Linked DNA regions of Struthio camelus. The protein of the gene in region 3 interacts with the protein of the main gene of each other region in a pairwise test. Links are inferred from orthologs where the notes say so. Each region holds a gene or a part of one and is shown on either strand. Other genes may lie near its edges.

Evidence for each region.
Region 1: the proteins of UBE2W (region 3) and AMFR interact in a two-hybrid assay, tested with the Homo sapiens proteins (2 studies listed by BioGRID and IntAct). The link is inferred for Struthio camelus from reciprocal best matches to the Homo sapiens genes UBE2W and AMFR.
Region 2: the proteins of UBE2W (region 3) and RNF26 interact in a two-hybrid assay, tested with the Homo sapiens proteins (2 studies listed by BioGRID and IntAct). The link is inferred for Struthio camelus from reciprocal best matches to the Homo sapiens genes UBE2W and RNF26.

The regions. Positions count from the first base shown.
Region 1 is NC_090951.1:21,994,443-22,004,524, reverse strand, and holds the start of AMFR (E3 ubiquitin-protein ligase AMFR), read left to right. Parts: upstream 1-5,896; 5' UTR 5,897-5,991; coding exon 5,992-6,219; intron 6,220-6,784; exon of another isoform or gene 6,785-6,799; coding exon of another isoform or gene 6,800-6,805; intron 6,806-7,800; coding exon 7,801-7,893; intron 7,894-9,425; coding exon 9,426-9,590; intron 9,591-10,082. Other genes in the region: NUDT21 (cleavage and polyadenylation specificity factor subunit 5), read left to right, coding at 123-323, 1,491-1,554, 1,981-2,070, 2,753-2,828, 3,230-3,344, 4,708-4,729. UniProt on the Homo sapiens protein: E3 ubiquitin-protein ligase that mediates the polyubiquitination of lysine and cysteine residues on target proteins, such as CD3D, CYP3A4, CFTR, INSIG1, SOAT2/ACAT2 and APOB for proteasomal degradation.
Region 2 is NC_090963.1:3,184,908-3,194,761, forward strand, and holds RNF26 (E3 ubiquitin-protein ligase RNF26), read left to right. Parts: upstream 1-5,668; 5' UTR 5,669-6,270; coding exon 6,271-7,701; 3' UTR 7,702-9,793; downstream 9,794-9,854. UniProt on the Homo sapiens protein: E3 ubiquitin-protein ligase that plays a key role in endosome organization by retaining vesicles in the perinuclear cloud.
Region 3 is NC_090943.1:129,384,043-129,394,891, forward strand, and holds the start of UBE2W (ubiquitin-conjugating enzyme E2 W), read left to right. Parts: upstream 1-6,320; 5' UTR 6,321-6,405; coding exon 6,406-6,420; intron 6,421-6,807; exon of another isoform or gene 6,808-6,903; intron 6,904-7,285; exon of another isoform or gene 7,286-7,366; intron 7,367-10,849. UniProt on the Homo sapiens protein: Accepts ubiquitin from the E1 complex and catalyzes its covalent attachment to other proteins.

The DNA of each region.
Region 1 (10,082 bases), on a different chromosome or scaffold from region 3:
ATGAACCAGCTACTTTTCACTTGAGTACAGATGGTTCTGCCTCTGGATGAATGCTGTGTCATAATAGCGCATGTGGTTTTAACTTGAATTTCTTGTCACGTAGTAACCCTTTTTCCTTGTAGGTATCCTCTTACGAATTATACGTTCGGTACAAAGGAACCCCTCTATGAGAAGGACAGCTCAGTGGCAGCTCGGTTTCAACGCATGAGGGAAGAATTTGACAAGATTGGCATGAGGCGGACAGTGGAAGGGGTTCTGATTGTGCACGAGCACAGGCTGCCCCATGTGTTGTTACTGCAGCTGGGTACAACTTTTTTCAAGCTGTAAGTATCTACTCCTTGACCAACTTTTTAGTGCGACTTTAAAGTCGCAAAGCACTAAGTGGGTAGATTAGAGGTTAAAGTGTGACTAGCTCTGTCAGAGGTTTTGAATGTTTGATTCACTTGTTACAAAGCCTAAAAATATTTTGAATGGTGAGGTTTTCTCGTAAAAAGTATTTTTGTCTGTGCTCACGTAGCTTTGAACCAACTGGGAGTCTTATGCTGTGTCACAATAGAGGGTTCCTATTTAAAACTCGTTATCAGAACTTTGTGCTTTATCCCTGCATTGCGAAAGCTGTGTTATGTTTAAATATACTTATGCTGTGGGCAGAAAAATAGCAAGGTGAAGCTTAAGGCAGGAAGCTGGGGTAAACGCAAAATGATAGCTGTTTGCAAACTACCAAGTGAGCTGGGTACAATTAGGAAGGTCTAATACTTGTCACTGCAGGAATGAAACTTTCGGGGTTGGATCGTATGTTTGTAGTGATGAAGTTGGTGCTTGATTTTGTTTTAGTTTTAACTGTATGGGCTTGACTTGTCTCAGGTTATCCTGCTTGTGTTCTGTCTTATATTTTTAGCACGTTGTTTGTTCTTTAGTGTGTGCTGGTGGGGAATCTGTATCCGCTTTCTTTTTTTGACATCTTATTTGGAGGGTGAGGGAGGGGACAAAAATAGACTAGAGTCTGAAAGTTTTTTTGAAAATAGGTATTGAAGAGTCCTCCTAGGTTTTTTGCATTAACCTTACATTAAATGGTTCTCCAGAAGAGTTTTATTTTCTGCTTCAATGCGTGTTATTCTTGAGATTAGGCCAAATGCAGTCAATATCTACAACCTTTTCTTCAACTCTGTTCTGGTGCTTTTCTGTCATTGTTAAAACTTCACCTCTTAAGCATCTCAGTTATTACCATGTATATAGCACTTTTAGTTCCTTTTCTAGAAGGACATGCAGTAGTTATTTCAGTCACAGTTTTGGTAAAAGCAGTGTTACTCTGTCTTCAAGCTTGGAAAAATAAGATTTGGAACTTAAGGCTGAAGGGCCCTGAATGAATTTGTAATTCCCTACCTGGAAGAACATCCAAACATACCTGTGAATGCCTATAAATATAATAAAGCATAACTTTAGCTTTCATCATTGGTTATCAGCAATAATATGGCTGATTATTTTAACAGACCTGGTGGTGAACTCAATCCAGGGGAAGATGAGGTAGAAGGGCTCAAACGCTTAATGACAGAGGTCAGTTTTCTTTCCTTATGTTGGCTATACTGGAATGTTATGGAATGCTGAATTATTCTAGAGTTAACAAGCCAAAGCGTTGCAGTAATTGTCTTACCGTTTCTATCAGTTTTACTCTTTTGTGATTGTTCGTAAAGGTACTTACTGGTGCTGTCACTGAAACATTGCACTTCATTCTTCCTATTGGACTTAGGGCACTCAGTTCAACTGAATATAACACAAAATTTGAAATGCTTTCTAAAATGTCCTTGTCCTGTGTCACTTTATACAGAAGTAATCTTCTGACATTCTAATAAAAGCTGTTCCAGCCTGGCTCTGAACTGCATCAGACCCTTATTACAGCATCTCTTTGTGCTTCCGCTGTGTGTTTTCTAAGAAAATGGCATGGGTTGTTTAGAGTTTTGACTGTACCTGGGTTTTTGATAGATACTGGGGCGCCAAGATGGTGTTCAGCAAGACTGGGTAATTGATGACTGCATTGGTAACTGGTGGAGACCAAACTTTGAACCTCCACAGGTGAGTACCTGGGTCTGCACTTATGTTCTTTAGAGGCAAATACTGACTGTTCTTACAGAAGCCTCAACTTGCCAGTTGTGAGCGCATACCTGCTGCATGAGCAGTTGGTCCTGCTGGGTTTCACCTGTCTCCTCCTTTCCTCTGGCTGAGGAGGAAGGATCCAACCTACAAACTTTTTCTTTGGGAAACCGTTTTTCCCTCCTTGTGCGCCTCCCAATAGATAAGTAACCACTGGATGCGGTGGTTTCTGGTCCTGTGCTGAGCTGGACACACCATCTAAACTCCTGTTTGATCCATGATGGAAACTCATGCACTGGTACATCTGAAACAGATGCCGTGTAAACAAAATAATCTCATTGCCTTATTTCTAAATGCTTTAATATTGAAAATACTTGCTCAGTTTGCTGCCATGTGTTTCTGTCTTGTTGGGTTGTTTTAACGGGTTACGAGTACTGGCATCTCTTTTTAGATCCTGTAAACGGTCATGAGGCCAACCAGCGTTCTTTTCTGCATACATCCTTATAAAAGTATTTTTCATTGTCTCATACCATGAAAGAAGAATATATGATAACCTGCTGGAAGCTTCCACAGTGCTCTTCCGAGTCTCTTAATTATAGAGCAGCACTTAAGAGCGCACAATATTTTCAAAGATATGTACAAGTAAATTTGTTTTTTCTTTCAGTATCCCTATATCCCAGCTCATATTACAAAACCAAAAGAGCACAAAAAGCTTTTCTTGGTCCAGCTTCAAGAAAAGGGTAAGTGTTTGCAACAGGGAGTTGCATTTATAAAACTCTATAAATACTTTCATTTCATGCAAGGAAATGTGGTACCAAGATTCAGTAAAACTCGCTTGCAGTTTTTAATGAGCAAGCATATAACTGTGAAGAAGCCTTAAAAAACGTAAGTGCTGGGGTCAATTATGAAGGTACATGAGCTTTTCTGAACATGAGTTTCTAGTATATTCCCATTACTGCTCCTATGTCAGTACGTGTACAGCACATGAGCCCCATGTCCAACTATAAATGAAATAAAGCCATTCTAGTACTATAGTGCTATATGCGGTGATCTTGTGTTTGGCTGGGAGTGGGGAGCAACATCTTGGCTGAATGCTTGGTGTTCTTTCATTTAATATTAATTAACTTGTACTTGTTCTTAGCTTTGTTTGCAGTCCCCAAAAATTATAAGCTAGTAGCCGCGCCGTTGTTTGAGCTCTATGACAACGCACCAGGATATGGACCCATAATTTCCAGCCTTCCTCAACTTCTGAGCAGGTATATTATACCTTGTATTACAGTTCCTGAGAGCTGTGACACCATAGCAAAGTGGGGCAATACAGAAACAAAATGATTGTCGCTGCCCTGAAGAGCTTGGACATGATGGATTTATAAAAATGTGAGGTGGGAAAGCTGTGGGACATGAGGAATAGGTAGATGGTGTTGACAGTTTAGAGACAGTGATTTCAACTTACTAGCACCAGAGTCTTACCTGGTAGTTTAATGAAAGGAAAATCTGAAAGATAGTGAAGACGAAGCTCTGCATGTACTAAGGAACTTTTTGAGTATTGCAGATAGTGTGAGAATAAAAACAGACTCATGTTTGAAGCATTGAGTTAGGCATTCATGTTATCACTGCTTTCTGTGGTGATTAAATGTGTTTTTGTTTTTTGTTTTTTTTCCCCTCCAGACTCTATGTAGTTAAAGTGCACTTATAACACAGATACCTGTAGGGACAGCTGTATTCTTTCCTCCCTTTTCCTAGCAAGCGCATTCTTTCCACTTATTTGAAAACGGCTTGTACCTCAGGTGTCCAGAGCTAACTAGTCTTACGAATTTCTGTTACTTCAGCAAATGTTCAGGAGTTCCAGACGTGCTACAGCCTGTCAGTTGTTACTCAGGGGAAGGAGTTACGTCATCCATCTATTCTCTATTAGCAGAATGTTGGAATTGATATCACCTATAATAAGTTTGCATGCTGTGTATATTTGTCCTCTGTCTATACTCAATTTTGGCAACAACTGCTATAGAAGCTTTTGCCCCGGCTCCATGTAAAGACAGCAGAAGCTTTCTCAAGAGTACTAGCAAAACGCTGGCCATTACTCATCCTAATGCCAATTTGGTACCTCTGCAACAGACATTGAAAGGAAGGACATCTGCAAGTTGAGATGGATGCTTATTTTCACAGTATAGCTTATCAGGAATATTTGTACAGTGCTCTTCTGTCTGCTGTGAAATTTAGTTTACAAGAATGACTCTTCTGTTGAGTATGTCCATCTGTTACTCCTGGAGTGTATCGGGATGGTGCTGGTCATAGAAATGCTGCGAAAGAGTTGTGTACAGGGTGCAAAACTTGCACTGGTATTTTCGTATCTGTGAAGCTTGCTAAAAGGTGCAGGAAGAACTAAGTATGTCCTCTCCTAAGAGGCTGATGTACGATGCTAGCCTAGCATCTGTTGTTACAGATAATGCTTCCTGGTTATACCAAAGCTGTCCTATTAAAAGGTTTTTTTTTTCCCCCCCCCTCTGTCAGAAGGAGGCTTATTAAGAACAGAAACAAAACATTTGCTTATTAATTCAAAAGTGTTCCTTAAATGAAAGGAATTAAGTCTCTCACTTGGTATAATCCTTTTAATTTTAGGTTCAACTTTATTTACAACTGAATTCCCATATACCTGAGGAGTGTGATAGAAGAAGCCGTCTCTGTGAGCACAGCTTTAAAAATGTAGAGAAAAGAATACGTGTGACGCAAGGATTTTTTTATGTCGTTCTTTTCCTGAAGGCCACTAAACTTTCTATTGTATGAATAGAGAAGTGAATCTCAACTGTTTAGATAGTGGGATGGCAGTGTGATATCAGTGTTTTAATCACTTTTCATTGTAATACTCACCAAATTTTTTTTGTACAACATTAAACAAAATGGATCAGATTCTGTTTGTCCTTTTTACTTGTCTCCCCCTTTTAAGAACATATTTTAGACTTTATTACTTTCCTTCAGGAAATCAGGAGATCTTGGGGAAACAGGAGGACCTAACCTGTTCTTGGGAGCACTGAGATGCTCTCTGACCCGCATCCTTGAGTAGAGAATTAGTCTGACAGGGAGTCTGAAAAGTATAAGTCTGTGCAATATCATGTTGAGTGTCTTTGCTAAAAGTTAGAGGACCTGAATTGCTGTTTTGAGAGAGTATGAATACTTAAAGGCAGGTGTGGCTGCTGTTCAAAGCTCATCAGCACTGATCTGGAACTTCCCTGTTTGTACAGGGCTTGAATGAAATAACGTGCAACTTCCCCTTCCCCTGAAGGAGGAAGGGAAAAAAAACCCTCCACTACCTTCTGTTCGACTGCTCTGACATTTGGATAAAATCTGAGAGTAAAATTAACTTTCTAATTTTTCTGAGGAGAAAGCTCTAGGACTGAACTTTTGGGGAGTATGCAGGGGTCCCCATATGCTACTGTCCTTCTGCAGCACACACGTGTATTGTGCCCTCTTGCAAGGGATTACGCTACTTGGGCTTGCTCTCGTCCTCCTGTCGCAGGTAATAAGTAGGGCTAGGCGTCGCTTCCGCAGGCCTGTAGCCTCCAGCCTTTTGCCAAACGACTGGCAAGGACTTAAGTTTCCCGTTCCGCCCGGCTGCCCGGGAGAGGCGCCGCCGGGCACCGGGGCAGAGTACGCGCTGGCGGGGGGGGGCAGCCCGACCGCGGCCGAGCGTGACTCAGCGCCGCGCGGCCCCGGCGGGTCGCCAGGGCGAGAGCCGGCGCGGGGGCGGCCCGGCCCGGCCCGGCGAGGGGCGGCGCCGCTGGCGGGGGGGGAGGGAGGGAGGCGGCGGGGCGGGCGTTAGGCCGCAGGAGCGGAGGGGAAGCGCGGAGCGAAGCGGGAGGCCGCGGCCCGGGTCGGGGCCGGGCGGGCGGCGCAGGGGGCTCCGCCATGCCGCTGCTCTTCCTGGAGCGCTTCCCCTGGCCCAGCCTGCGCACCTACACGGCGCTGAGCGCCCTGGCGCTGCTGGGCTGCGGCCTCAGCGCCTACCGCGCCCTTAGCCAGGCCCCCGGCGGCGCCGAGGCGGAGGGCGGCGGGCGAGCGGAGCCGCCGCGCCGCGCCGGGGCCCTGGCCCTCGACGTCGCCTACTACCTGCTCTCGGACAGCCTCTGCGTCTGGGTGAGACCGGGGGCGGCGGCGGGCGGGGGGCCGCGATCCCTCCCCTCTCCTCCCCTGCGCTGCGCTGCGCTGCGCTCCGGGCGGCGGCGGCGGCGGGGGGGGGGCCGGGCCCTGCCCGCGGCGGGTGCGGGGAGCCGCCGCGGAGCAGCCTGGTGGCGGGGGCGGCCGGGCCCGGCCGGAGCGCGGTGGAGCGGCGGGGCCGCCGCGTCCCGCCTCGCCGCCCCCCCCGGCCGGGGCCGCCGCGCTGGGGCGGCCCGCAGCTTCGAGGTCCGGCCTGCAGCGGGCCGGGTCGGGCCCGCCCGGCGCCGGGTGAGGCCCGCAGGGCCGTTAAGCTGGTTCCGAAGCTGCTCGGGAGCCTCAGTCCCGGCTTTGAACAGGGTTTTTTTTTTTGTCGTTGTTTGGGAAACGCTCCCTGAGCGGTTGGGTCGCTGGAAAAAAGACGTAGCTGCCCGGGGGCCGCGGCGGCGGGCTCGGCGCTGAGCGTGGGGCTGCGAGAGAGGCGCGTAGTCAACCCCGGCTCCGAAGCGTTGCCTTTTTTAGTTTAAAAAGAGGAGAAAAAAAAAAAGAAGAAGGTGAAGTCATGCAGGTGATACGAATCGTTCTCACCATCTAAACAAACAAAAAAAAAAAGGGGGGGAAGGAAAAAATGTGCGCAGCTCTTGAAACCCGAGCCTGACAATGGTATAGATATAAAGCGAGAAATCTTCCTGCACTCCTTTCCGTATCGTGTCTAGTGACATAAAGGCTCAAAAAGGGGCTACCGAAAAACCTAGCTGGGCTGTCACTGTTTAACTTCGCCTTGTTAGGCGTCTGCTTTACAGCCTACCGCCTTGACTGGGGCTTTGATTTTGGATGTGCTTAAGGTATTAAGCCTGTTGAGTCCGTTTTGAAACTTGGGCTTAGGAGCTTAATTGAAAGCCCTAGAAAAAGTTGGTTGCGTGGCCTTTAAGAGCGAGAGGATGAGGCGGCCTCGTCGCTTTTTTCCTCCCGCTTTTGGTGTTCTGTATGGGTCAAAAGTATCGTCGTCCAGTAGGAGAAACGATTTTCCCAGGCCCGTGTGTTCTGCTTCTTGCTGCTTTGGTTTAAAACAGTTGCCCACGGCTGTGATCCAAGGATTTAAGCAGTGTAGTTACAGAAAGTATACGCGTTATTGAGTATATTTAGAGACAATTTCTGAATCTTCTTCTTGTAACGCTTAACAGGTTTGAACTGGAGTTTTCTGATCTCCTGTGTGTTGGTGATCTATAAGTCTTCGGCTCCGCGTTCCTTAGTGTTAAACGTGCTAATTTTTATCAGTTTATCGTGAAGAGGTAGATTTGTTTGTGGGGTATACTGACGTATCAAACTGATCACGTTAGTGTTCCTAGAAAGAAAGTCAAGTGAGTTATCAGCTACAACACGTGTCTTGGAAGAGGCCACGCAGAAACTTCACTTTTAAAAGGAAAAAACAATAACGCAAACAAGCAAAAACCCCTCTTCCGTGAGCAACGGGTGGTTCTGCTAGACTCCGGCTTTCCCCGTCCCTCTCCCTTTTTGAGCAGAGCTGAAGTATTTGCTGCTGACTGCTTTGTTTCTTTTCAGGTACTAGTGAACACTGCCTGCTGTTTTCTGATGTTGGTCGCCAAACTGATCCAGTATATGGTGTTTGGTCCCCTTCGTGTTAGTGAGAGGCAGGTAAGATGGGCAAACGCATTGCCTTGGATATCCGTGTTGCTTTCACGTAGCGTAATTTCTCGGTGGATGACTGGTGTAGTTTTCTATAATGAACTTCCTGAAAGTTATACAATAAATATAAGTTTTAAAACAGTGTAAGCTTAAATCTTACCATTTGGAGTTCTTCCTCTGGAAAACGCTATCCACTAAAACCGCAGAGGAGAAAATCCACCCGAGAAACCCATCAGTTTGTCACGCAAGTATTACTTAGCTCGTATCCAGAGCCACAAGCTTGCAGTTTATTTCTGAGTGGAATTTTTCATTTTAATTGTTGCTGTTGTTTTTTACAAGCCCATGGTCAACTTGAAAATCCTATTTCCTTAATAAACGTTGTCAGATTTCTTAAAAGGGCACCTCATTTCGGAATATTTCTCTCTCTCTCTCTCTCACTCTATATCTATATATGTGTATGTGTGTATATATATGTGTGTGTGTATTCTTCTCTGTTAAGCTTGCATTTGACAGCTTTTCCTCTGCATTTCATAGTTAGTTAGTTGTCTGCACTGGCAGGTTGAGTTCACTCTTGCAAGTTGTCTTGTGCCTTGACTGCCAGAGGAGTGTGCGTACTTTCTATCTTCAGACATTGAATAGATGGTCTGTCTGTCCTCAGGTGTAAAAGGGGTTGGCATGTAGGTACCCAAGGGAAGGTGAGGTGAAAGGACTGAAAACTCAGATTGTTTGGTTCTGGTCTTAGGCTAGGTGAGAAGATTTTTAAAACATCCTGCAGGAATTTTGCACCTGTCTTAACTACCCTACTGGTCATGTTCTTCATCCTGTTCTTGAACAAAACATTCCATTTTATAAAATTTTTCCATCTCCAACGTCTTTTTTATTTGCTATTTGAGACCATCATACTGTTTCTTTCATACTGTGTGTGCGTGGGAATAATTAATTTTTTATTGCTCATCCATCTCGTTCGTCGCTGTTTGCATTGTGCTTTTTAAGAGCAGACTTCGTCACCTTTTCTTAATCATCTCTGCACTTGATGTGAAAAGTAGTTAGTGTGTATTTTTGGACAGTTTTTTTGGAAGTGAGGTGCCACGTCAGGTGGGCACCCGCTCTAACTAAGCGTGGCCGTTCATCTAATCAATCCAGCAGAGAAAACTTGATGTTTGTGGCCCAACAGGCCCGCTGCTTGGGCATGGAAAATCTAATCAAGATCAGACCTCCTTTGTGCTAAGCACCATTTTAGAAATATGGCAGGAAAGCACGCTGTGCGCTATGTGGCACTATTTTGCTGCAGTGGCACCAAAGACTGAGTAGATACTAAGGGCTTCTAATATTTCTAATATGGTTTGAGATTCTGTAAGGTTAACAAATACTATTCTGGGTGGGTATGCAACTGTCCTTTGTTAACATATTTTCATGTTGCTATTCCCATCATTTTCTCTCCCTCCCTTTCTCCCCTGCGTATTATCTGCTATGAGCAGGCAGTTTTATGCATGTGAGTTGTCGGTGCTTTCACTACAGTAACCAAGTGTCTTCCTTTTCAGCATCTCAAGGATAAATTCTGGAATTTCATTTTCTACAAGTTCATCTTTATTTTTGGCGTGCTGAATGTTCAGACAGTGGAAGAAGTGGTCATGTGGTGCCTCTGGTTCTCAGGACTTGTGTTTCTTCACCTCATGGTTCAGCTCTGCAAGGATCGCTTTGAATATGTAAGCTTTGATTAAGGGCTGTCTTTTGGGACGCGCAGATTCCATTTCTGGTTTGGGCACTGACTCATGACGGGTTGCAAACAGATCATTTAGACCTTTTCCCCAACCTGTGGTGCTGAGCACGTGCACCTCCCATTAGCTTCAAATATTTGGAGTGCCGTGTCACTCTTACTCCTTCAGTTTTCCCATCAGACAGAGCTGAAGATACGTATTTTCTTTAGTAAATTGTTCCATGCAGTGCCCTGTAATTTCTTTTACATAACTCCATAAGGTGTCTTCATAGCTCTCCTTAGTGAAGAAGTCTTGACAACAGAGCATCCCTTAGATTGGTGCCCTTTGGGATTGATCCCGAAAGCCTCTTTCTGTGGAGGCTGTGCTCAGGTTTCATGACAATAGTGCTTTTTACATCTACCAAACGTTGACTGCAAATGTCCTTACGATATACAACTTTTTCACATAAGCTGTATCGCAGTTTGTGTTCATACCAAGAAT
Region 2 (9,854 bases), on a different chromosome or scaffold from region 3:
TCCGGGGCGAGAGGGGCCCCGCTCTCCGGGGAAGGCAGCCCGGCCGGCCGCCCTGCTTCCCCGCGCCTCCCAGGAGCGGCTCTCCGCTTCCCCGCGAAGGCTCCTTGCGCCGCGGCGTAACCCTCGGGGCAGCTTCCCGCCGGCCTCAAAATCCCCCAGAAGGGCATTTTTTTGGCTTGCTTTAGGGCTCACGTGATTACTGGGGAGCTGCTGGGGCCGTCAGACCTCTGGCTTCAGGGCACCGGGGCACCGTCCCACGGGGGCGTGTTTCACACCCCGTCCGTCCCCCCGCACCCCTGGGAGCGCTCCCCAATGCCTCCGTCCCGCAGCTCAGGAAAATGCCCTCTCCTGCCCTCCCTTCCTCGGCCAGGCTCCCGGTGCCTTAGTTGTGTCTCCCCTCTCCTTCCCTTCCTCTTCTGCACAGCCTTTATTTGGGGATTATTAACCATGGCTACGGGGGCCTTTGTTTAGGAGCGGAGCCGCGGGCGAGGGGCTGGGCAGGCGGAGGAAGGAAGGACGTGAGCGGAAGGGGGGAAGGAAGGTGACATCTGGATTTCTGCGCTGGAGGAGCGCAATCTCCACGGGCAGCTGTGTGGGGGGCTCAGCGGATGCAGACCCGTGGCAAAGCCCCAAAAAGAGGGGCCCGGCCGGTGATAGAGAGACCCGGGGGTTACCCAGGCTCGCGCCATGCAGAATGCTGCCCTGGTGGTCCGCCCCGCGGGTGGGTGCAGCGGGCAGGAAAAGGACGCAGGTGTCCCGGGTCTCCAGCTGCCCTGCAAGGGCTGGCTCGCGCGGTGTGAACGACACGGTTTGGGCCCGGCTTTGCTGAGAGCAGCGTAAGGACGAAAGGGAGGCTGTGGCGCCTTCCCGGGCACTGCTCGCTCCCTGCCCCGGGGAGGCCCGACCCTCGCTATGCGCAGGACGGACGGACAAGGACAGCTGGAGGAGCGCTCCCGGGGGAAACCTTAGCCGGCAGACGGCCACCACCAAGGCTTGAGGGAAGGAGCCCCCCGCCCAGGGCTGGCCCTGTCCCTCGGCGTCCCCAAGACATGGCCTCCCCACGGCTCAGAGCAGGTGCAGCCCCGCTGCAGCGTGCAAACAGCCACGTACTGCACACTCGCTCGCGCACACGTACAGCCAGAGCAGGACGGTCACATATATGCCTGGGGCTCCACTCCCAGCCCCTAATCCCCTGCGCTCCTGGTGCAAGGGGAAGGCTGTGGGGCTGGCGGTAGGGTGTGAAAAGGGCGGCTGGGTAGCTGGGAGCCCGGGGACAGCTATTTTTAACCCAGCCTTTTCCTTCGGAAGACTTCTGAGTTCATCTCCCCCCTCGTGCTGGCCGGAAAAAGGCCCCATTGTCTTGGCGCCAGATGGGCTGGGGCCGGGCACTCGCCGGCACAATAGGGCGGATTATGTGCCCGGCCAGCGGGGGGTCCGGCAGCAGGGATGCCCAGGAGGAGCAGCTGCCTCCAGCATCCCCGGCACCCGCGCCGCACTCCCGCCGCACGCCGCCGAGGCCAGGGGTCCAGGCGGGCTCATTCATTGCCCGCTGCTAATCCCCCGGCTCCCGGCGGGGCGGCGCGGGCTGGCTCTGCCAATAAGCGGAGCACCACGTTGCCCGGCTGAGGACCAGCCCTACGAACCACCGCCCCCAAAACGGGGATTCCTGCTCATCGGCCTCGCCTGCGGCCGCTCGCCCCTGCGCCTCCTTTCTCCGCACAAGCATCAGTGCAGGGGCAGGCCAGCCAGGGTCCCCCGCTGGGGGCAGGACGCCTGGGCTCTCCCCCCGCTCAGCACTGCTCCCCTCCTCATCCCCTGGGGCTCCCCAGGCGGGAGGGACAGGGACCGGGGCTTTGGGCCATCCCCGGCGAGGCTGCCCGGCCCAGTCCCCTGGCTTCCCCGGCTGGCTGCCGGCTGCCCCAGGGCTGGCTGAGCTGCCCGCCGCCGGGGAGAGCCAGCGTCGGGGCCCGGTGTCACCCTCCAGGGTCGCCTTGGTGCTGGTGCTGCCTGCAGCGTTGGGGGGTGCTCCCCCCGGACGGCTCATTAAGGGCAACCGCAAGGAAGGGTAACGAGAGATGAGCCCCAGGCAGAGGGACGCACCGGATCACCCGGGCCCAGGGGAGCGGAGGGGCCCGCCGGGCCGAGCAGGGATTTCTCTGTGCAGGACTTTCCCATGGAAGAGGACTTGCTTTTCCCAGGGCCGCCTGGCTGGGCTCCAGGAGGAGACGAACATCCCAGCTCCCGTCGCGGGGAGCCGCGCAGCCCGCCAGAAGCAAGGTGGGCAGCCCTCGTGCTCGAGCTTTCCCACAGGTTTGCAGGCAGAACAAAGGCAGGGACGGCAGGAAAGGTGCCTCTTCCTGGGGACGGGCGATCTGTCCTGCGGCTCCCGAGGCGTCCTTGGGGCTCTGCCCCACCGCGAGGGCCCGAGGCGAGGCGAGGCCGCGCCGGCCAGGGCGCTGGCTGCCCTTTCGGCGCTGGCGGGAGCGTGTGCGTCGGCGAGGGTGATCACCTGCGTCTTCAGAGCGAGGCGAAGGCCAGAGGAAGAACCTTGCTGCCTTGGAGCCGGGCCAGGTGAGCCGGGGGACGGGGACTTTCCTGGAGCGGATACGCCGGAACGACCTATTGTTTGCGCCTGGCTTGCAAGCGCAGGGTCTGCCTGCACCCGCGGTCGCGCCAGGACATCTGCCTGCCCGGCGGCGAGGGCATCTTGGAGGGACCCGGAGTAAGGCTGCTGGCCGGGGTCAGGAAGCCGGTGCTGGCTGCCTTCTCCCACAGCACCAGGGCGGCCGGGCCGTGCGCGTGGCCCGGCGTGGGCGCGCCAGGGCATCTTCGGGGATGGTCCCAGGTGCCTGGCTGGGAGCGACGGCACGGTGCCAGCTGGACCCGCAGCCCAGAAACGCCCTTCCTGCCTCTGGGACGTGCCAACGGGGGAAGCTGGCCCCGGGTGGAGCAGGGGGAGGCCAGCAGAGCCTGCACATCCCCTGGCCCGGAGGGAGCCCTGGCTGCCCCCAGCGCCGTTCCCCCACCAGCACCCCCTCCGCAGCCTGCGCGCCTCGCTGCCAGCCCTGTCTCTGCCTCCTTTCCCCCGTTCCCCCGCCGCCCCACGGGGGCTCCGGCGGGACCTGCCCGGCGTGCCCCGCCGGCACGGCACGGGCTCCGGCGGCGGTCGCTCAGCCCACCTGGTTGGCCCCACTTTCCCGCAGTGCCCCGCGGGGTCCCAAAGGAGCACCGAGGGCCCCGACGAGGGGCAGCGAGGCCGACGAGCGGGGCCGGCGCGGGGCGCCCTGCCCTGCTGCCGCAGCTGCCGCGGGCACAGCTGGCGGCGGGGTGGCATCGCGCCCGGACCTCCGGCAAGTGCGGGGACAGCTGGCCGGGACCCTCCTGGCCACCGCCCAGCTGCCTGAGCCACCCAGGCAGGGACCTCCGTCCCGCAGGGGCTCTGCGGAGGTGAAGCGCGGCCCGCCAGCACGGAGCAGTTCCCGCCGGGGGTCTGCAAGCCGCCCTCGCCTGCCTCCGCGGGGACGGCCGAGCCCTGGCCTCTCTGCCGCAGCTCTGCCAGCTCCGCCTGCCCCGCGCAAGGTCCCAGGCGAGCCCCGGGGGGGCCCTGCGCCCCGGCCATCGGTCAGAGCCGCCGTGCCAGCAGGGACCCGGAAACGCCGTCAGGAGACCACCGCTGCCCCCAGCATCCTGCTGCTGCCGCACGCTGTGCCCACCCTGCAGGGACACGGCACCCACCCTGCAGGGACACAGCACCCGCCATGCAAGGACATTGCACCCACCCTGCAGGGACACAGCACCTGCCCTGCAGGGACACTGCACCTGCCCTGCGGGGACATTGCACCCACCTTGCAGGGACATGGCAGGCGCCATGCAAGGACATCACACCCACCCTGCAGGGACACAGCACCTGCCCTGTGGGGACACTATGCCCACCCTGCAGGGACACTATGCCCACCCTGCAGGGCTGCAGCGGGGCAGGGGCTGAGCCAGGAGCCGGCGGCCGAGGCGAGGCTGGGGCAAGCAGAGAGGGGGCACACGTGCCCCTCCGCCACCCCGGCCCCTGCAGCAGCGAAGGAAAAGCGCCGCCGGGGAGCTGCGACCTCCCAAACCTGCACTCCTCGCTCCCGTCTCCGTGCCCCTGCGGGGGGAGGCTCCTGGGGCATGGGCCCGGGGTGCCAGGGACGGTGCCGGGAGCGGGGCAGGGGCGCTGGGAGGGGGGAAGCAGCCGCAGGGGCCCGAACGGCCCCTCCCCGCGGCCGCGGGGAAGGAATGAATGAAGCGCGCGCAGCCGCTGGGCTCTGCCCTTTTTTTTTTTTTTTTTTAAGTAATAAGAAATCCAAACATTACCATAAATGCTCAAAGCATCTTGGCCCCCGTCACGTGGGTACCGGCGCGCACACACACCGCCGGGGGGGTCCAGGCACCGGGCCGGGGAGGGAGCACACAGCCGAAACCCAGTGAGCCCGGGAGGGAGGGGAAGGAGGATGGAGGGGATCCGGCCGGCGGGACAGACTCCCGGCGGGGAGTGCACACACACACACATGCACACGCACACACACGCACGCTCGAGGGCTGGGCGGTACCCGGGAGCATCAGCCGGCGCGAGGTGCTGGGACACGGCCCCTCTTGCCCCTGGCTCTTGCCCCAGCTCAGGGAATTAGAGGGGGTGAAAAAACGCGAGGGAAAGGGAGGGCGGCTGCTCTGGGCCTGCCGCCGGGCAGGCGTCCTGGTCCCCCAGGGCTCCTCCCTTGCTGCCCGGCGGCGCCGCGCTCTGCTCCCTGGTGACGAGCTCCTGAGGGTGCGGATGTCTTTCCCATGGATCATTCCCTGTGCTCGCTCTCCCCTTCCTTAAAAAGCCTGGGCTCCAGGGCTGGATTTTCCTGGGCTTGTCGTCACCATCAGGGCGGCGGCGCTGGACTGTCTCCCGGGGGGCACAGCGGAGGGGAGGAGGTGCGAGATGTTGGCAGCCCAGCACCCCGCCCGGGAGCTGGCAGGGACGGCGGGAGCTGCTCAGGGCTGTTGCGTCGGGAACTTTGACCTGCAAAGCAAACTAGGCCCCTCACCATAACCTTGGGCCAGGTAATAGCCCCAGGTTTATTTTGGGGCCTTGGGTAGGAAATCGGTTGGCTGCAGCGAGAGCGGTACTGCCCCAGCCTGACCCTGGGCCGTGCCTACTCCCAGTGCAGGGACTGGGGACAGAGCCAGCACCAGGCAGCACAGGGGACACAAAGGCCGCACGTGACCCATCCCTGTCCCAGACACATTCTGCCCCAGCTGTCCGCACTAGTGAGCATGAACCTTCTCAGCGCCCGGGCTGAGACCGTTGCACACTCACCACACGTGTGACCCCCATGAGCCGCCGCCACCCCCCAACAGCCCCACCGCGGGCCCTTTAAATCCACCCCGCCGTGGGCGGGGCCTGGCCCGGCAGCACCAGCCAACCGGAGGCGGCTCTGGGGGAGCGGCGGACAGAAGCCACGCCCCCGCGCCCACTTCCCCCCCCCCCCCCCCCCCCCGCCCCGCCGCCGCGTCCTCCGAACCGCCCAATGGGAGGCGGGAAGAAGCGTCCGCCGCCGCTCATTGGCCGGCGGCGCGCCACCGCCCGCGGCAAGATGGCGGCGCCCAGCGGCAGGGGGTGCGGTGCGGGCCGCGGCTGAGGGGCGCCCGCCCCAGCACCGGGGGGGCCGCCGCGACCGGCGCCCCCCTGCTCCCCGCCGCCTTCCCCTGCTCGTCTCGGTAGCCTCGGCCTCCCCCCCGGCCGTTACAGCCCTTCCCCGCCCCGCCCCGAGCCTCGGGCCCGGGCCCCCCTCGCTGCCCCGGGCCTCCCCCCCCGACCGTTACAGCCCTTCCCCGGGGTCCCCCAACCCCCCTGCCCCCCGGGGCCTGGGACCCCCTCGCTGCCCCGGGGCCCCCCCGACCGTTACAGCCCTTCCCCTGCGTCCCCTAATCCCCTTACCCCGGTAACCTCGGGGCCTGGGACCCCCTGGCTGCCCCAGGCCCCCCCCGCACCCGAGCCTCGGGATCGGGCCCCCCTGGCTGCCCCGGGGCCCCCCTGACTGTTACAGCCCTTCCCCGGCTCCCCGCCCCCCCCCCGACCCTCGGGTCCCCTCTATCCATCCCCTTCCCCTAGGACCGTTAGGCCCACCTGCCCCCATCCCGGGCTCCCCTTGCCCCAAAGCCCCCTCCCCCCCACCTCCTGGCTCCTCTGCAGCCCCCCTCTGGCCCCGTGCGCCCGTCCACGTGCTCCCGGGTCGCCCGCCCAGCCCCACCATGGACCTGGTGTTCCTGCTGCTCCGCGGCCTGCGGCTGGCTCTGGACCTCCTGGGCTTCGTGCTGGACGTGAACTTCTTCCTGGTGTCCTCGCTGGTGTCGGCGTTGCTGTGGCTGGTCGCCTTGGTCTACAACCTCCCCGGCACCGCGGCGGCTAGCGCGCTCGCCTGCTGGAACGGACTGCTCCTCTGCTTGGCGTCCCTGGCCGAGGCGGCGTGCTACCTGGCGCTGGGTGTCGTGCACGGCCTTGCCGGCCTGCTGCGCAGCTGCTGCTCCAGCCTGGAGGGGCTCAAGGTGGTGGGGCACCTCCTCTCTCATCTGGCGCTGCGGAGCAAGGAGTTGCTCCACCGCGGGCTCTGCAACCTGCTCGGCTCTGGCCAGACCTTGGTGAGGCAGGTGTGCGAGGGCCTGGCCATTGGCATGAGCCTGCTCGCGTACTTCGTTAACAGCATCATCAACATGTGCCTCATCGGCATGCAGAACCTCTTCACCTTGCTGGTGGCCCTGTGGGATTCAATCGTCAGCCCCTTCCTGAGAGTCACCGACCTCCTGGCCGCTTTCCTCGCGCATGTCTCCAGCAGCGCCATCGCCGTGTCCATTCTGCTGTGGTCGCCTTGCCAGCTGGCCTTCGAGATCCTGGCCTCCATCACCAAGCTCTTGATCAACGTCTTCTTTGTGAATATCTATGGCCTGGTCTTGCTCATCCTTATTATTGTCGTCAGCACTTTTGTCTTCAACCCCGGGCTGCTGTGGATGCTGGCAGGCCATGTGCTTGGGTACTTGAACACGCTGCCATCCTACCACCGCCTGCAGAGGGATGCGTGGCGGCTCTATCAGGTGGCGCTCCTGACGCTGGGCATGGTCATGACCTCTCAGGCCTGGCGCAGGTTGCTGGACTGGAGTCTCCAGGTGGCCAACTGGAGCAGAGGAGGCAGAACGATGAACCAGGCGAGCAATCAGCGAGGGGCAGCCATGCCTGCCTCAAGACCAGCAGCTCCTGGCAGGGGGGTGCTGGCAGGGGGCGGCCAGCTGGCAGGTGGGGAGCACGAGGACCAGCCAGACGTGGAGCAGGTACCACATGCGCGCCCGGCTCTGAGTCGAAGCACTGTTACAGGACAGCGTCTCCAGGCACCCAGGGAAGAACCGAGCACCTCCTGGGGGAAAGCTCCAAGGAGAGAGCAGCTGAACGCAGCAGCTGGGGATGGTGAGGCTGCTCTGGACGATGACCCCTGGATGCTCCTGAAGGAACAAGAGGAACGTAAGAAATGTGTCATCTGTCAAGACCAAACCAAGACAGTCCTGCTCCTGCCTTGCAGGCACCTGTGCCTATGTCAGGAGTGCACAGAAGTCCTCCTCCAGCAGGCCATCTACCAGCGCAACTGCCCGCTGTGTCGCCAGATGATCCTGCAGACGCTCAATGTGTACTTGTGAACCCAGGAGCGAGTAGCTTGGGCTGTTTTTCCAGAAGGTCAAGGACCATCCCTGTTGCTGCCTCTCGCCTGGAAGCAGAATCACTCTTCCCAGTGCTGCCTCGAGTTTTCCAAAGAGCTAAGGATGATGCTGAAAGGGGAAGAGGCTGTTGGGGGTGTCTGTCAGCCACACTTGTAATTGTAACTAGCCTGTAGCTGTCGCTAGCAAGCACAATAGCTGATCTCTGCAGCAGGCCAAAAGAGTTATCTTTTTCTGTTGACATTTGCTGTTTCAGGGCCTGTTGCCTTGAGCTTACAGCAGTTTGAAATCCAAAGCAGAGCTCAGAAAGATGCTCTGGTCCCTCCTAGCCAAAGCTGGTGGAAAGCTTCATGACCTCCTGGGAATCACAAGGGCTAGCGCAAAGCAAAGGAGGGCTTTGCTGCCAAGATTTGGCCAGCAGCTGCCTGAAAACTACCTGGCAGACTCCATTCATACCTGTCCTTCCCCCTCCCACCAAACCAACTCCCAGGGAAGGGAGCAATGTGCCCCTTTTGGGAGGCCCTAGGCAAGCCATGAGCACCCTCCAGTTTTTAGGCTTTGCTACCAAAGGGCTGAGTTTGGCTCCCAGCTGGAGAACAGCAGGATTTCTGGGGCCACAGCAATACTTGGGTATCCCAGCCACTGTGGCTTTTGGTTTTGATCTTCCTCTTCCCCTTGCTGGGATAGTGAGGAGCCGCAGAGAACGCGGGCTCCCTGCAGGCTGGCCAGCTGCAGAGCTCAGTGTTGCTGCTGCTTCCATGTGTCACCTATGCAAGAATAATGAGCACATACCAGGTTACTCACATGTGGGCCAGGGGGTGGGGGGGTTACTCTCTCTGCAGAGGCAGTGGTGCTGCTTGGAGAGCCCGGGAGGTGGCCCGCGTTCGCACAGCCCTGCCCTAACCTCGGTAGCAGCAGCGCGTGTGTGAGCTAATGCTGGAGAATCCTCCCTAGATAATACAGATTTTAGAGCCCGGCCTCCGGACTTGGATTGCCAAGGAGCTGGGTGGTTCATAACAAAGCTTGCTGCGTGCCAGGCTGGGCGGGCTAGAGCGAGCGACCATCTGGGAGGAGAGGGGACACCCCCAATCCTCCTGGGAGCCCACTGAGACATTCCAGTTCCTGGTACGAGTGCTGCACGGCTGCGCTGTGGATCCACAGTTGTGTACGTGCAGCAGTACTGGGACCCCAGCTGTATTTGATTACAGCAAGGTTCCTCTGCTGTTCTGTCTTACTGCCTGTCTGAAATGTGAAATGCAACTAATTTTATTTAAAAGTGTCCCCGGAAGTCAAACCATACTATCGGCTGCTGGCTGGGGAGAGCTGAGACGGCTTGTCCCAGCTTGGTCAACCAGCACCATTCCAAGAAATTGCTGGACTCCAAGAGGGCCTTGCATTAAAAAGCTCTCCCTTTTCCAGCTGCTTGCCCGGGGTCAGCCGTGCTCCAGAGCCAATTTTGGCTGGAGCACTTAAATCGGGAAGAGCCTCAACGCCTCGATCACAAGCCAAGAGCCTGCAGGCAGCTGGCGTGGTTTCCTCACTGCTCCTGTTAACTAATAATTGATAAGTGATCTAAGTCCAAGTGGAGGCGGCAGCAAGGCCAGGCCATGCCGGGAGACGCCTTTTCGCTGCAAACCTAAGCTGTGGCAAGGACAAGATATGATGAAAGCGGCGCTGCTCTGGGGAGGGCACTGCAGGGGCTGGTTCCCTGCCCTGGGCTCCTGCGGGGGTCCTCGCTCAAGAGGAGCGGGGCAGCTGGACCCTCCCCACCGCGCGCCTTTGGAGGCACCTGGGAGTGGGGCTGCTGGCCGTGCTCCTGCCTGCGGGCAGAAGTGTTTGGTTGGGGACAGCTCATGGGTGCTGGGGCGCAGGGTTCCCCAGGTGCTTTTTCAGGGAAGGAAGGACACCTTCCCAGGACTGCAGTTTCTCCCCTCAAGCCCCCTTTCTATTGTAGCAGTCACGCTTGTCTTTTTAGGGCCTGTTTGTTTGCTGTTTATAAACAAAGAGAGAAAGCTTTGCCTTAAGGTTAACTCTTTGCACTATGGACTAGATACTGAGCAGATTAAAGTCTCCTTTCCCAAAAACTGCCTGCTGCCTTGTTCTTGGGAGCGGTTTTCTCTGGGGAGACAGGGTCT
Region 3 (10,849 bases):
TAGATTGGACCCCAAAACCCTGTATTTAATGGGACAGGGAAGTTAACTTTTTCACTCTGTGTTTTGTGCCTCAACATAAAGGTGCTATTTTTTGTTTGTTTGTTTGCTTTTAAATCTCAAATATGATATCCTGATTGCAGCAAAGCAACAGCTACTGCAGAGTCAACAAAAGCACAATGTTACTGTGTGGGTACTAAGGAGAAAAATATTTTTTCTAGCTGGAAACTAGTGGTGGAGGCTGTGGTGTAAATTTGATTTCAACAACTGAATGGGAGGAAAACAGCAGCAGCTCTTTATTTTATTTTAAGAGGGACTGAATTTGGAAATGAAACTATTATGCTGCTCTTTAAAGCTAGGTAGGCCAAAGCTCTGCAATTAGCAAAAAAAAGGTGTCTGGTTTTTCTCATGGAAAAAGATCAAATTTAAAGTTTCTTTTCTTTTTTTTTTTTTTTTTGGACAAACAAACTGCATTGGAGTTGGATTTCTTTCTAAAGGTAGCTTAGGAGGTGGTAACTGTGTGGGAACATAGCAATACTGTGAACTAGATGTGTTGCATGAGATTGAAAAAGCCAGAAAAGAGCACACAGTAGCTTTTGTCATTATTATTCACCTATGAAGTTTGTTTCAGTGTCATCACTAGGGTAGCACAGAGAAAGGAAAAGTGACTTTTTATCAATTCAATAAATATATTTTAAACCTTATTTTAACTAGTGTTCTGTGTCATGAAATAAAGCTTTGAGTATGTTACATCTACAAATGTAGGCTATGGTGCAATCTGTCCTATATGGGAGAAAGGTCACTGAGATTAAAAAAAAAAAAAAACATGTCCCTCTATCATTGCCATGTTGCTGTTTTATGTGTACAGAATATAGGATTTTCCTCCCACACTATGTGGGAGGAAAATCAAAGATTTAAGATCGAGATTATTTTTTGACAAATGGAATACTTCAGTTTTTTATCCTATTGAACTTAACACATTTAGACAGTTTTCAAGACCTTAATCATATAATCAGTTTTGTAGCCTCGGTTGTTGAGAGTAGAATTTGAAAATTAACTTAAAATTGCCCCTGAAATATGTATTGCCTTTTAGGTTGGAGAAAGTAACAACTTGACCATTTTTAGACAACTTAAAATCTCATTGATTATCACTGATAATGATAAAGTGACTGATTTTCAGAATCATGCTCTGAGATAATTTGGGGGGAATATATGCATAGATTAATGCTGGACCTTATTTATTTGTTGCCTATTTCTATCCAGTTGAAAATTAGTGATAGTTCAACCAGAAGATACTCTGAAATTAAAAACATAAATACTGTGAATTCTTTCAATATTAATTCAAATTTAAAACTGCTTTTCAGGTGAGAATTCATAACGAAGGCCTCCCCCCCCCCAATACTACTGATATTGTATTTGCATGTAATAATAGAACCCCTTTATTTTTAAAATCACCACCACAGAAAGCCATAAATAATAAATAATTCATGTCTTGGGTCACTATAAATTCTTGCTACTCTGACTAGTAAAACAATGGAATATTTGTCAGGTAAGTTAATTATCTCTCACATAAATAGTTCTCAGTTTTGTTTGGCATCACCAAGCCTAAACATTATCTAGGATCTATTTGTATTTGGCATAAAGGATTTCATTTATCTTCTTACACTGGGAAAAAAATGTTCTGTATTATCATATTAAATTGACGTATAATGCTTTTCAGAAGCAACACTCCATTTAAGTTGAGAATTATTTCTAGTAAATTACTTGAAACTTGTAAATAATATCTATTGTCTTGGTTTGATTCTAAAGCTTTTACTGGTAAGATGCAGATAGTGTTTTCTGCAGGTGAGTCAAGTTTGTGTTTTTCAGAAGATTTGTTTCAGAGACTTGTAGTTTAATGCCCTCCGTCAAACTGGCAAACAGCAGTGGAAGGAGAAGTTGGCCCAATTGCTCTGGGAGGAATGTGGTCCTCCTCCTCACTCATGAGATGTGGTCTCCTGGTGCTGCAGAGTATGCTTGCTATGTCACTGGAGTAACACAGGGAGATTAACATGAATGTACAGTTAAGTTCGGTGTGAGAAGGAGACAAGATGTAAAGCTAGACAAGTGCAGTAGACTCAGAAGATCTCTTTCTCTCTTTCTCTGTCTCTCTTCAATGTTATAGCTGCAGAAATTGCAGAGAAGCAGGCAGTGACAGACAACTCAGTATACAGAAAAATGACAGAGGATTAAAGGGACAGCAGAGGAAAAAACAGTTCGGCAATGTTTGTGAAAACCTTACAGATAATGGAAGAAATGGAATACAAAATTATAAGGACCCAAACAGGGAGACATATTTGGCCTTTGTGAAACTGGCTAGACACATCAGAAGATAATCTAATAAATGCACTTTGAACATTGCATTTTTAATTTTTTCTGTAAACTTAAGGTAATGCAACCTATGGAAAAAAGTGAATTTCCAAGTCAAGTGCATGAATATTTACAGAAACATTTTTAGTAGGAGGTATGGCTCAGTCCTCATGATTTGCACTATATGTATTAGATATGCAAGGCATAAAAGTGTATTTGATCAGACCAATACAAGATAGCTCCTGAAATAATGAAGATAGATGAAATTCATTTTACCTCTAAAGTTTTGAATGTTTGGGCCTAGGATTCCAATCTTTGAAGTCTCTGGCAAAACTTGGGTTGACTGGTGCAGGGTCAGAGTGTATGGGCCAAATATTAAAGCTTTCTTTAATAAAAGAAAAGCTGTCAATTATTGTGTTGGCTATCTTTACACCTGCAACAGATTGATAAGGGTTAATTATAAAAGTATAGGTAGAGGTCAGCACTGAAATGAACAGCAAACTACTATAAAACCTACTCTTTCTGAAATCTATGCTCTCTGGGAGTTTGGGTTTTTCCCTGGTTAAATTACTTAGAGCAAAGAACAGTATGAGCCATCACAAAATCACGAATTGAAATGAATTTAAAGAAGAAAATGTTCATACAAATTCTTTCCAGAAGTCTGTTAATTGTATACGTTTTACTATTGTGCTTAAGGGATTGAACCCCTATCGCATTAGGGACTGTACAAACACTTACTAAAAAAAGGAGACTCTGCAACCAAGGTTACTGATATGAGACATGGGGAAGGAGAAAACAACAATAAAACCCAAGGATAATTCTCCAGCTTTCCTATTCCAAAAAACAACAAGAGGAGCTAAAAATGTTGCACACCTATATTAGGTGATTGCATGACACATGAGAAAACAACAGATGAAAACATTAATAGAAGAAATCTCTGGTAGTCCTGTAAGAATTAACTGCTCAAACTGAAGTTAGGGATAAGGGGACTCTGGTCACAGACTGCAGCTGCACAGTAACACAGCTCAGCTTCTTACACATCCAGCTAGGACATGGTAGGTAGTAATCCATTTATGTCTTATAGTTTATGTGAAGGGCAGATTCTATTCCTTGCTTTACATGTCTGCTGTTCTCAGGAATGGGATTTGCAGTGTGGATGAGGTTATCTCAGTAAATGTTATTTTAGTCCAAAGTGTTGCAGGTGCCTGTTTTTCAGATTGAAAGTGTGACCAGAAAAAGAATTCCCAAAGAAAAGAACAGTAACAAGCAATGTGTTTTTGCTAAAGCAGCGTTTTGTCTACAGAATTTTTTCTTTACTACAGAGTGGACGTCATATTTGTATTGATTACAGTTATCCTTAAGACTACAAAGCTGATCTTTTCATTTACTGTATCTGGTAAACGCACAAGAGCAAAACCACTTTGCAATCTATCAAACATAGGGGCATTCATACACTTATGCCTTGTTGTATATTCTGACCTTAGAGAGGGTTTCCTGTAACAGGTTAAGAAACTGAATATAATGGATTCAAATCAGTTTTATCCCACTGTGATTACATCAACACGAACAGTCAATATGTCCCTGTTTATAGCTGAACACATGTCCACTGCCTAAACTTGATGTTCTTGCTGTCTGTGTGGCATATGGCATTAAGAAATGTATTTTAGGATAAACATATGTCTCAATCATGTAAAACAACAACATCTAGTAAAATAGTAATAACAATGTTGCACCTAATATTGTAACTGCCTAAGTTAGTTCTGAAGGACTGCGCGAAAAATTTTCACTAGTTCTAAACGTCTCTTTAACACAATAAATCTTTCACAACTCAAGTTGTGTCAAGACGTAATACAGCACATAAACATTGACTTCCAGGAAAAACAGATGGAAGACTCTTGTGACTTAAGTGTCACTTAATTGAAGTCAGTAGAGCAATGCTTGTTTACAGTGCTCAAGGAGCCTATAGGTTTGTGACTGAGCTAATGAAAACTCAGAATTGAGGCTAGGTTAGATTGAATTCACAGGACAAAAAGTAAAGGATTTAGCTTCCTGGATGCACTGCAATGCTTTTTCTATCCTTACTTTTGGTAGGCTAATCTCCTTTCATACTCTAAAATCTACACACACTCACAATTTTGTCATCAGCAAATTCCTGCAACAGCAGCAGGTTCAATCCCTTCTGCAGCTAGCCCACTGAGGAATGATATTCCTGTTGCCTTCTGTTGTTCCCTTTAAGCAAACCACAGAGGTTTGTACACTCAGTTTAACTATTGCAACTTTGCTGAATCTGGATGCAAGTTTGAATCTGACGTGACATTGCGTGTTGGGTTTTTGTTTTTCTCCAGTTAGCAGTTTTCAAAGCTGGGCATATGTATGGAGCATACAGGAAGGTAAAGCCTGCATGTAGAAGTAATACCTTGTATCATACCAAATAAAGTGATTATAGAAAGTAGGCAAGATGCACAAGCCTTCTTTAGGTCTAAAACTGAAACAGCAGACTTCAAAGCTAAATACAAATTGAGAACAACTGTTCAAAACTTCAGTTTGGCCATCTCTGAAAAAAAAAGTAGGTGCTACCTGTGGAGTAGAAAGGATGAGAGTTGGAAAGGTGAGAAGGGTGAAACACCCTTCCTATTGCCAAGGAAGACAGAAAGATAGGTAGTTTACTTCCCTTGGCACATAGAGAGACATTAGTGGGGACATGGAGATTATAATGAGCCATAAAACCATTATCTTTATTAAGTTGTTGGTTTTAGGTATCCACTAGGACTGTGGGTTTTATAGGTTTGTCTTTGGAAAAATATTTTGTTGGTTCCCTTGGAGGATCAGGTAGGTCTGAAATACAGCTGGAATAGCTTTTGTGAAAAGTGTTTCTTCAAGGTGCTTAATTCACTGATTGCATGTAAGTTAATTCCTGCAAGTGCTGCTTGTTTATTTTCACCTGGTAAGTTACCACAAGAGTGTTTGGTGCAAAGGACAGAAAATATTCCAATCCAGGAAATGAAAATGTAGGATCCAAAAAAATTCTCCCACTTACAATATATTCATGCTCTGTAATTCAGGCACCGAGGCCACAGGTGCAGAAAAAAGTCCAAATCAGAGATTATCTGAAGAACTCTGATGGTGCAGCATGGGAGACAAAGAGAAACTTCTCCCTCCTCATCAGGACAATTTCCATCACCACAAATTATAGCCAGACGTTTTCCTGCAGCAAGCCAGCTAATAAACCCAGGGTACTTAGTCCAAAATGCAGACCCTAGCACTGCCTGCTGTGGATCTCTAATCCTCCTTTCCCGAAATGACAAATCAAATATGAGACGAACTTGCAGAAACCCATAAAAGGGAACAGCTGGCATTAACTAAATCCCTTAAGGACTGTGGATGTGCAGTTCTAAAAAACCTTTAAAAATATGTAGGCCACCGCTCGCACAGCAGTTCTAACTCCAGCACGGCAACCACGTCCATCAGCAGGGAGAACCGTTTGCCTTTTTGGAGCTGGCGAATCCCTCCAAACCCGGAAAAATACGGCAACCACTTGGTCCTCGCTAAAGAAAGGAGTGAGGAGGCACAGCCATGCCTCGCCGGCGCTGCCGGGTGTCAGGGCGGCGGCGGCGCCGAGGCCGAGGCCACCCGCCCGGCCTTCCCGCCTCACGCGGCTCCCAACGGCCGCCCCTCCCCCCCGCGCGCGGCCCCCAACGGCCGCCCCTCCCCCCCCCCGCCTGACGCGGCAGGGGGCGATGGGGCCGGTTTTTCACGACTCCTTCCCACAGCGTGCTCAGGAATGGTCCGGGCTGACGCTCTAGGGCTGCCCCCCCCAAAAGCTTCCCCTCGGAGGAAACCCGCTCCGCTCGGCAGCGGGCGAGGCCAGCCCGCGGGGGCGAACCCCATGACGAGAGTGCCGCCGCCGCCGCCAGCCCTCCCCGCCCCCGGCGCATGCGCGGCCGGGCCGAGGGCAGCGCTTCCCACGTGACCGGCGAGGGCGGGGAGGAGACGGGCGCGCGGCGCTGCGTCTCTGTGGGTCTGGGCCGGCGGCGCAGAGGGGCGGGGGGTGGATCCATCATGGCGTCTATGCAGGTGAGGAGCTTGCGGCGGAGCCGGGCAGGCGGGGGGGGGGTGGCCAGCGCCGGCAGGGCCTGGGCAGCGGCGCCCTGAGGGCGGGAGGAGCCACTTGAGGGTGGGGGGAGCGGGGCCGTCGGGGCGAGGGGAGCCCCCGTTGGGGCAGCGGTTGGGGGTCCGTTGCGGCGAGGCCCTGAGGCGGGCTCGGGGCCGGGGGCGCCGCCTGCCGCTCGGCGGGGCCGGGGCCGTGAGGGAAGTAGGGTAGAGCTCGTTGCCGGCGGCGGGATGGAGCTGGGAGCCGCAGGGGGAGGCTGTGAGGGGCGAGGCCGGCCCCGGCTGTGGCGAGGGGAAGGGAAGGGAGGAGGGAGCAGGGAGTGAGGGAGGGCGGGCGGGCGGGCGGGGCAGGCCGGCCCGGCGGGGGAGGAGGCGGGAAGGGCAGAGATCCTGTAGGGGAAGGACGGAGCGGCTGCCGGCCCCGAGGGCGGCTTGGCCCCAGGAGAGGTCCGGCCGCGATGCAGCCCTCCGGGGAGCGGTGGGGGGGGGGGGGGGGTTGGTGGCGGGGGAAGAGCGAAGAGAGCCGTGGCCCGGGCGGGGTTTGAGGGCGCCGAGGCGTTGTTGGCTCCTGGGGAGGTGGCGGGCTCCCCCTTTGCGGCGGCGTGGTCGACCAGCGCGGCGGGGTGGCCTCGCCGGGGCCGTCGTGAGGACGGTGTTGAAGGATGTGGCCACCTTCCGAGAGTTTCTGAGGTTACGGCCCTGTTAATTCTGCTCAAGCACAGGGTGGTTGCGACAGACCAGTTTTATCCTAAGCAGTGTGCAGGTGCTGCCTGTGAGGTTCGTTCTGTCTTTCTCTCTAAAATAAGCTCGTAGTGTGGTTTCAGTCTGATGGACAGATAACGTCCAGTTTGGCTTGGTTGGATGGGGTTGCTGTAGGTGCGGTAGCAAGAAACATCCTGCTGCTTGACAGGTATTTCCACTTGAATTATTTATTTATACCTTCTCCGAAGGAGTTTTAAAATAGTAGCTGTAGAAATTGATCTGAAAGAATGGATCACTTTCACTGTGTGCTATTCTGAACGGGTGGTGATTTGTTCCGTGACATGCCTAGGACACGGGCAGGACAAAAGATTACCTGGTTTTGTGGCTATGCCCCTGTTCTTATTTCACCTGTAATATTTTTCTTGCTAAATTATAAAATGTTTGATGTTGTATTTAGATCCAGATGATCTACTACTTCCGTTTTACTCCTCAAGCTGCTGCTACTTTTTTTTTTCCTCCTTTTTATTTTCATTGTGGTCCAGTGTAGGTTACTTTTTTCTGTTACTACTAAATGGGACAGTGCAGAAAGAGTGTACAAACTAAATCAAATTAGATAAATTTGTCCTGACTAGCCTGGATTTCCAGTGATAATGAGAAGTAAAATGTCAGAACATTGACTCTTATTGGGTAAAGATTTTGCTGATGAGGTTTGGAAGAATAAAAAAGCATTGTATGTCTTTTTGAGTTACTGAAATGGGATCAGAACATGAACATACTGTACCGCAAGTTCTTGATTTAGTAGCAGTTTAAATAAGATAAACCAAAGACAGATTAGTCTATCAGCTCTATCTGGCAAATGTATTTTGTAATTTTTTTTTTTTGAATGTTCAAGCTCTTACAAGCAAGGCTGCAAAATAGAAGCAATAGTTCATTAAGCAGAGTCTTGTTTAGAACTGTGTAAAAACCCTAGGGAAATGATAATTTGGAAACTTTAAGGATACATTCCCTGGGACTCTGTAAACCTGTGCTGCGTTGCTATCTCTGGCCTATTAAATGACCTTGTACAGCTTGCCTCACCGTTGTTCCTGCTGCTCACTTTGTAAAAGAGAAATGGTGATTACAAATTAAGTAAGGTTGCTTAAAATACGTGAATGCTGTCTGAAAGGACGATGACAGTGATATGTTGAGGTGGTACTCTTTTCCTGAAAATATGGCAGTGGTAAGTCCAGTATTGTAATTCCTTCATTTTAGAAATGCTATCTGCAAGATTTCTGTGGGTTTTTTTAATGATATTTTGTGATGTTGTGATGAGAGATTGAAGGAAAATTATGGAGGTTTTTTAATCTTACCAATCGTATAACCTGACAGAATTTTTCTTCCCTTTATCCTAAAGATGAGCAATAAAATTGGAAGTATGAATTTGTAGAGTTTTTTTAAAACTAGTTTACTTAAACTTCTTAAACTAAAAATAGCTAGTCTGATATCTTGAAGAGATATTTTTATTTAAAAAAAAATTTAAAAATTGAGCCTGTATCTGGAGAGTTAATGAAACCGACATCAAGAAAAGATTTGAAGAATAGAGAGGATTATTACAATTAAATTGGTTGACATCACACTAACATCACCCACTGTATTATTTTACTGGGGGTCAACCTTTGTTTAAAAAAATCAATGACTTTAAAGTTTAGTTTAAAATGTGAGAGTTAACAGCACTAATTTGAAAAAAGTGACGTGTACATAACCTTTGGTATTAGTCTGGTCCAAGACTTGAGGATAATAAATATCATAATTCGAATCTTGAAGTTTGAATCCTAAAAATGTTAAGTGTTAGGTAGGCTGAGTGGGCAAATGCTAGTTATCTAGTATTTTTGTTGGGCAACTTTTTCCAGGGCATTTGCTGATACTGATTCTTAAGCACCCTGAAATCTGTGGTTAAGCAGGATAGCTAAATGTTTTGGTAGCTATATGTGGTATGACAATATACAACATACTGATTTTTCTCATTAAAATGATAAGTTGATATGTAAATTTTAGATCACTTTTTAAAGTGCTCTCATTTTGTACAGTGTTGTATGTGCCCTAGGTTGATGATATTCTTTTACAGACCCACTGACATTTCTTTGATTAACTTAGAGCTCGAATGCTTGATCAGCCTATTCTGTCAGGCTACAAGGAAAGTTTTTAAACTGTATCAAATTACCTCCTTTTGATAATAGCAATGAACATCCACCTCAACAGCTACTGTAGTTCACTTGATGCATAATGACTTGTAAAGCTTGGGTGTTTGAGCAGAACGTGCAGAATTTCAATTTATAATGAACTTCATCTGCAGTAACATTTTTTTAATTGTAGTTTTCTCTGACTATTCAGAAAAATAGAAACTAGTGTTGGTGAGATCTTGTATTTTGTTTTAGACAACACAGTGGTTGGAAAGTGTTGGCTAGTTCTATCACTAGGTTGATTTAAATATGATTTGCAGGATTTTAATCAAATACTATTTCTTTTAACAAAGAACTTGATGGAAAAGCATTTTTTAAAGATTATTTACAGGAAAAAAAGGCTAAGCTTGTGCAACTTCTTCATGAAAAACAGTAGTATTCTGGAAGATTGTGAGTGGTGCATAGACTGCGTAGATAGAATGTATTTGCTTAAGAAAATTTCGTGTAACACTTCTAATCTTAAACATTAAAGCTCTAGGTAACATAACATAAAAATGTACTCAGAGCATAATTTAAAGCAGTTTTTATTGAGATTTCAGTAGCTTGTATACATTTTCCCTATCCCCTTACCCATTGGCTAAAAAGATTGGGATGAAATTTGTGGGAAGCGTCTGTATTGCTAGTGGCTTGTGTTTTGTGCTAAAGTTCTGAACGGTCTCGAACTGTAACATAAATTCTACATTCAAATCTAGCGTATGATTGTTTATTTTGTTAAGTACCTTTTTAGACAGATATTTTGCAGGAAAAGTTAAATTTTGTTGTTGGAAAAAACTTAGTCTGTTTTATTTTGATGTGTACAGGTGTTTTGATGGTGGCCCATATAGCAGGCAGTTTTCAAGGGCAAAAATAAAGTCCTAATCAAACATGAGGTGAGGGCTAACATTCTGCACTCTTTACTAAAGCTTTTAATGTCATTAATTACATTAGCTCTGTATTTAATCAGATTTGAATATCTTCTTGTACAAACCTCATGTGCCTAATTCAAATGAAGAGAGCAGAAGTTATTCTGGTATTAAAGTACACCTTTAAAACTGTTTCCATAGACATGTTTGCATTCAAATATGTCCATTGAGAATTCAGGTTTGCAAGGAACGGGGTATTAAACATTTAAGGAGGGGAAGGGTAGAATGGTAGTAATTAAAAAGTCAGCATTGTGGATAAAAAGCATATTTCGAGCTTAAGGCATGAACATTTGATATCTGTGGGTTTAGGGAAAGGTGTTAATTCAGAATTTGACACTTTGTTTAGAAACAATTTTTTTCCCTATATTTTCAGTTGAGCTTCTTTGTTTTTATTCTTTACCTGCTCTTCCATTCTCAGGGGAAGTTCTGTGTTTCTAGCTGCTTGCAGAACAACTATTTATTGCTTAATATTTCTTCAGTGTTTGCAACATGTTTATGTAGTAATTTGGAAATCATTTCCTCTTTACTGATCCGACAGCTCTGTCCAGAAAAGTTCTAAACTATTTTTAA